Linked DNA regions of Xenopus tropicalis. The protein of the gene in region 2 purifies or fractionates together with the protein of the main gene of each other region. This does not show direct contact. Links are inferred from orthologs where the notes say so. Each region holds a gene or a part of one and is shown on either strand. Other genes may lie near its edges.

Evidence for each region.
Region 1: the proteins of dock1 (region 2) and elmo1 purify together in Homo sapiens (affinity purification with western blotting; 12 studies listed by BioGRID and IntAct, counting the BioPlex papers as one, with this or other methods). This does not show direct contact. The link is inferred for Xenopus tropicalis from reciprocal best matches to the Homo sapiens genes DOCK1 and ELMO1.

The regions. Positions count from the first base shown.
Region 1 is NC_030682.2:63,753,112-63,756,680, reverse strand, and holds part of elmo1 (engulfment and cell motility protein 1), read right to left. Parts: intron 3,031-3,569; coding exon 2,986-3,030; intron 2,079-2,985; coding exon 2,028-2,078; intron 1,114-2,027; coding exon 991-1,113; intron 1-990. UniProt on the Homo sapiens protein: Involved in cytoskeletal rearrangements required for phagocytosis of apoptotic cells and cell motility. Acts in association with DOCK1 and CRK. Was initially proposed to be required in complex with DOCK1 to activate Rac Rho small GTPases.
Region 2 is NC_030683.2:24,118,017-24,121,585, forward strand, and holds part of dock1 (dedicator of cytokinesis protein 1), read right to left. Parts: intron 3,202-3,569; coding exon 3,056-3,201; intron 1,018-3,055; coding exon 819-1,017; intron 1-818. UniProt on the Homo sapiens protein: Involved in cytoskeletal rearrangements required for phagocytosis of apoptotic cells and cell motility. Along with DOCK1, mediates CRK/CRKL regulation of epithelial and endothelial cell spreading and migration on type IV collagen.

The DNA.
Region 1 (3,569 bases), on a different chromosome or scaffold from region 2:
AATCCCATCCGGTCCTGGACCTTTGTTTACCTTTACATGTTCAAGTCTCTTTTGAATTTCCTCCCGAGTGATTTCCCTACATGCATTTCTACATAAGTGCAGGTTTATATTTGATTTGTGAATCCAGCTAGACATTCCAACTTTGATGAACTGTGATACAAGGGACTGTGCAGTTTGATTAATTTAATAAACATTTAACATCAGTTGGCAAAGGGCCCTGTATAGGCCTGAAACATTGCCAGGCTTCTAAAAATCCCACAGGAATAAATAGAAAATGGGTAAGGTTTTATTAATTAAGCTATCAACTCACATTTTGATAAATCTGCCCCTAATTGTTCTTATTCAAAACAAACTTATTATTAAGGTAATATACACCTTTTACTATTATGGATTGATCACATTTGATTGCTCCACAAATAGTACCAGTAAATAAACCAATTGCACTGTCAACAATTCAACATCACCTTGCACCTTCAAAAGTGCATTTTTGCTTTCTTTGTATTTTTTCTTTTCCCAAATCGTACTTTTTAGTACCAAAGATTGTGCATGTACTAATTACTTCAAAACAAATGTTTCATAATTTTTCAAGCGTCAATACAACAAAACAAACTAATACAAAATTACGCCATCTAAAAGCTGTTGAGTCATAAATAAATCAATAGGAGCTGTCCTAGGCAAACTGTAACAATGCTTATCCAATTTGTGGTTTTAGTGGTTCTTTCTGTTTGTAAGCGCACAAAAATTTGGATGCTTTTTTACTGTTTTTATATTTTAATATTTGGATTTTTAAATAAATGAGTAGACAGTTGTGCTATTTTAAAAAGTGAGCTTAGTCGTTGTAGAAAATAGGCTTTAAAATTACATAAATTGGAATTTTGATAAATCTGCCCTGTAACATTTATTTACAAATATTAAAAAACTATGGGGAATTTTACACAAAGATTATTTGTTTAGTAGTGTTAACAGAAGCATATAATCTATATGGCTCACCTGATCTTGGGGATCCATCTTGGTCATCATACGGTCTTCCAGCAAGTTGAAAGTCAGTACTTGCCACACGTACAGCTGATGTGCCATCTCATTATTAATGGGACCATGTGCTCTGATAACATGCTGCAAGAGAAAGACACTCTTTTATAAAACAAAAAACTGATAGATCAGAAAACCTGGCCCTGGTCATTTGAGCTTTTACATTTTTTGGCCTCTATTGGCTGGACATAGAGGTGCTGCTGCCAGGAAGTGAGTTGAGACAAGTTACCAGGGGACGCAAAAAGCCACTTCTGGTAAAATAAGGACAAGGTCAGACGAAGAGTATCTCCGCTTCTCTCAGCCCTGTGCTTTTCTGCCTGGCTGAGAGAAGCCGATTCGCTTCTGTACGCCACTCTGTGTGCCTTCACTAAAAGCTATGGCAACAGCCCAAATGTGCGTACACAGAGCATAGCCTGACTCCTTCCTATACAGAAGGAAGGCTAGGATTGATCAATCGATCGTCTCATAGTGGATTTTGCCCTGCATTGCCGTATCACCTTATTTCAAATGACCGGAAGCCAAGTTTTAGCAGGTATTTTCTAATAAAGCATTCAAAACAATAAATGGTGGCAGGATAGGGCAATTATTGGGGCAGGGTAGAATAGATTTTTTACTTAAAAAATGTTAGTGTTACTTTTCCTTTAAGCGGCTGTGTAGCCATGGGGACAGCCATTAAACTTGAAAATGGATAAAAAGGTGCATGTTTACATACCATCTGAGATGAACTATGTAGAATACAATAGGTTTAGTTCTTGCAAGAAAAATAAACAGGGGTCAAAAGTAATTTATGGCTTTCTACAGGACTAGAGAATGGAATAGGGGATTTGCTGCTAAAAAGGTTAATTGTAGGCTCGATCAACAGCTACAAAATTTAATTAAAAATACTTTTTACTTTTTGACATTTAAGGTCATTTAAGTCTTGTATACAAAATAAAAACAGGTCCCATTTATTTACCATTTAATTTTTATATAACTAAAGATACAATATTAATACATACCGTTAGGATGATAGACCTGAGCTGCTTTTGGGCTAATATGTTAGCCATTTCCTATTAGACAAAATAAGGAAACATTATTATTCAAGAAATAAATTACATCTTTTAATATAAAGTGGAGTTCATGCACATTAAATTGTTGCTTAAGAAAAAAAAAGCAACAAAAAAGAAAGCCAAAATGCTCTATTTTGCCACTTACAATTTTACTGCAACTGTTACACTGTAACTTTAACTCCACAATGTTTCTAAACAATTTTGGAAATTAATATTTGAAAATAAATAAAGATGTCACCTAAATGGCATTGGCCAGAAGTAGCCTCTTTCTTTCAAATGATCAGAATTATGTAGATTATTTAATCTTCCCTGTTCTTTTTTCAGAATAGGACTGCCTACTGTATTGGTTTGTTTATATGTCAGTTATTATGTACCTTTATGTACAACGCTGCTGAATACAAACAGGTGGTTATTCTATCTATAAAGTAAATGCAATTAAAGGAGTAGTTCACCTTTAAAATTAACTTACAGTATGATGCAGTTACTAATTTTGACAATTTTGAAATGGTTTACATTTTTTATTTTGTTGTGGTTTTTCAGTTTTTTGTTCAGTAGCTCATGAGTTTGATATGTCAATCGCTATCTAGTTGCTAGGATAAATAAGAGCCTATAAGGAAGTGGTTTGAATGAGGGACTGGAATATGAATAGGTGAGGGACTAAATAGAAAGTCATAATAAAATATTATGCACAGTGCACTGTGGTTCTCAACACCAGTCCTCTTTAACAAGTATTGACAATTCCCTATGACGTTATTCCAAAAAAGTGTACCGTTTGAGAAATTCTTGCATTGAGAATTGCTGTATCATGCAAATTGCAATCATAACACAAAAACCAAGATACACTACAGCACGTGTACAGAGTGGGCACTACAAATCAGCTAAACAAACACTAACATGAAAAACTTACACTCAGAGGAAAATCAAGGATGTCAATATTGTTCGCTATGTAACGCTAAGATTTAAGGACAGAATTAAGGACAGACAGATAAGATAAGGATTGGAAATATTTACTGTATACAATGGCATAACGGAGAGTTGGTGGGAAGTGGAGATTTATATGCAGCAATGGAGGAAGCAAGCAGCAGGGTCCGCACCCTTGATTGTTATGCCACTGACTGTATATAACACATTTTTTTCCTCAAAGACCATTAGTTATTACACACTATTTGTAGAATCACTGTAGGAAATTGCATACATAGAGATTTTTTTGGAGGATATTTAAATGACTGAATTCTGCAACTATATAATTTTCTTTAAAAGGACAACTATTTATCTATTTTGATAAAAATTTTGAAGAAAAAAAATCTAGTTTTTAAAAATGATTTTGGTCTGTAATAATAAAACAGCGCTTTGTACTTTATCCCATCTAAGAAATAATTAATTCTTATTGGAGGCAAATTAATGTTTAAAAGATTCCTTATCCAGAAAACCCCAGGTCCAAGCATTATGTATATAAGTTACCATACCAGTATAGCTTCCCGTTCTGCTATT
Region 2 (3,569 bases):
GAGAAAAGGCACAGGTTACATAGCAGATAACAGATAAGCTCTGTAGAATACAATAGTGTTTTATCTGTTATCTGCTATGTGCCTGTGCCTTTTCTCCTTTGAATGGCTGCCCCCATAGCTACACAGCAGCTTTGTTTATATAAACTATAGTAGTCTTTCTAAGGCAAACACACCAGCTGTACCAGTGCAGGGCAACAGTACATAATATCGTAATTAATTTTATACACTTTAATTTTTTGGTGTTACTGTTCCTTTAATAGAAACAGCCTGACATGAACTCTACTTTTTGCACTTTCTGGGACAAAAAACACATCTACGAGTAGCAGCATGGTCAGTTATGGATGCTTCTCAGCCATATTCTCAGTCATATTCACTGTACTGGGCATTCTATAGGAATTTTAAAAGGTGTAATTATGTCTACTCTTGATAAAAAATCCTTTACGAGTTAATTGAAAACTGCGACCCCTGGGGTTAACTCTTTTTTCACCCTTTGATACATATGTCCCTCGAACTCACTTTCTAGGAGAGATCAGCTAACACATCCCCCCTCTGCATAATGGAGAAAAAAAAATCTATACATCTTGTCAGAGGTCAAGCCTTACTAACTGAGGTTAATATCAGAATATCAGAATTTACTGGAAAGCCGAATCCTTGGTTAGAGACGCTTCACGGCCGAGGTGAAAGCACAGACAGTGAAACAGTGCTCGCACATAGATTTCCATTCATTTGCATTGCAGGAAAGCATCCCACCAATGAAATGATATACAGAAACATTCAGCGGCGTCTATGCACACCCACACGGCCCGAGATAGAATTACCGTTTCTGACAGAATAACGGCGTCAGACTGCTGCAGTGGAATTTCAGTAGCTTTAAATTCTTTATCAAACATCTCTTGGTGCTTGCTGTTCCTTTTCTCCTTCTTTTTCTCCTTCTTCTCCTTATCAAGATCATCTCGGTCCAATTTATCTTGGGAGCGAGAATGCATTTTCTTTGGCAAAAGTGGTTCCAGAACAAACCTGGAAGAAATGTAATATAACTGTGCACATCCATTCAGTACTGACACGTGAAATATTCTGTCTGCGGATTGAACTGGTTGGCTGCTGCGCTACTGGAACAGATGGGGGAATCTGTTACCATTTTGTTCTTTTTATCTCTGCCTGTAAAATATATACTTATAAATGGTGCTTTAACTAATGACTTACTATAACCCCTACTTAAAAATGTAACAATGGTAGAATTGACCTTGGAGCGCTAAGTCACCACTAATATCCTTATATTATATATTTATAAACGGTACATAGTGATGACATCAGTTATTATTGATATACTTAAATCACATGACTCACTGAAAATTGTGTATTATAATAAATACCCCTGTTTGAATATTAGAAGTCACCTTGGAGTTGTGACCTATAAATTAAAAATACAGGAAATCACAGAACTTTTTTGTGACATCTGATATCCTTATAATTTATAACGCCCTGTATAAAAGAACTTGCCCTTCACCTTCTGCCTTTATATAGTCATGACATTCCTCAGTGACCTATAAAATCCTTATCCTATAAAACAAGGGTATATAATTTCTCTATAATATACAAGAGCCACAAATATCATGCATGCCATTTGCCTATAGACAGTTCTTAGTAATATCATCAGGTATGATCACGTTTAGTGATGTCACTTGTGTCACATGATTCATTTAAAGTTGTATATTATAAAGATAATGTACACCCTTTTGTAAAATATGAGATATAGAAGAAGTCACCTTGAAGTTCCATCTAATAAAGCCCTAAAGTTTACAGAAGTTTCTGGTGACTAATATCCTTATAATTTACAACAAAGAGTACATTATTTGCTGCATATTTAAACAGGGCTCTATTCCATACACACACATGTAATCTTTACAGTTAACCCAATGCATGAACTGTGCTCTGAACACAAACACTGAGTTCCTACAATGACACAACTGACATATTATGTTTAATTGTTGCCCATCAATTGAACTTCGTTAAGCTAAAGAATGTCTATGTACATGACCAACCATCCTATCACATTAGGAGAATGGCTTCATCTTTAAATGAACAAGGTTTTTTGGTTTCTATCCTGTATCCAAGGGCTCAGTGTAGCAGAGGCAAACACAAATCCGCAGCCGTGCCACTGCCAGTTGGTTCTGTGCCACTGTTGATCCGTAAAACCCTGTCTGCTGATTTCATCCAAACTGACTCGCACCGGGAGACATGCCAAACATGCAAATAGCAGCAGCCAGACTAAACAGTGTAAATGTGATACAACATCCGCTTTTTAACCTTAATCAACAACTTTATCATGGCTGGATCAGAACAGGCTTCATATGCATTTTGCCCGCAGAACTGTGACAAGCAGCTGGGCTAAATATTTTGAGCTTCTTAAAGCACCCAGAGGTGTCCCCAGGGCACATATTGTTTTAGAAATGGCAACGTTTGTGTTCCCTTGCAGTCTTTAGGCTCCTTTTTCTTTTGAGAGCAGCTGAAATGCAATTTTTTTAGGAACGCTTTCCGTGAGTGTATCGAGTAACTTAATAAAGGCAGACACAAACCGGCCTGGAGATCAGGAGAAAGGCAACAGTGACATGCTGAAGACGTGGGCTGTAATTTGTGAGCTGCTGAAGTATTGTGAGTAACCAATAAGCCTTAAAAGCACACAGATGCATTGCAATTTGCTTTTCTACTCAAAGTGGAAATTAAAAGTTTATTTCTGCGAGGAGGGGAAAAGATTCCAAAAATGAAATTTATTATTTTGAAAGGGGCACAAATGTGTAGGGCACAAACTTTTGCAGGGAAAGAGGGGGGGACACAATGCCAGAAAACATACTTACTGTGATTTATTGCTGTTTTATGGTGCAAAGCTTGCCACCTTGCCAAAGCTCCTAAATGCACACAACGGGACAGCAATGCATACACAGAATTGTATGCAATATTTCTCCATATAGACTTCACCAAATGTTACCACCAGTTTGTCACAAACTGCAGGTTTACAAATGTTCTCATAAATACAAATGGATGTAAAACAACTTACCCATCTGAGCCAGGTCTTGATGGGGTACTGTCTGAAGACACTGAAGACACGGAGGCAACAGACAAAGGTCTCGATGACGACGGCATGGTAAATGAACGGACCATAGATCTTGGCCGATTCCCCCGCCTCTCGTCAGGGTTTGAAGACTAAAGTGAAGAAAATAGGGATTATTTTTTTACTTTCATATTCATTTTCAGGTTGACACTCCACTAGTATTCTGAATTATTTGACTGTTTTATGGGAAAGGGAAAGAGATGGTATCAGACAAAGTCACGGGAGTCAGACACTACAGACTTAGTTGCAGTAGCAAGTTGAGGTGGAGAAACTAACACCCATTCAACCCATGGTGTTTTACTGCAGAAAACTGAGGTGCAGATGGTACTTTGAAAGTTGAAAATATACAGTTTGTGCGATCATAACAGCATTTCTCCATTTACTTAATTAAAGAAAAAAAAAATCAAATGGAATTAAGGGAATGCTCAGTACATCTCTGAGAGCTTAGTTTTATGAAAAA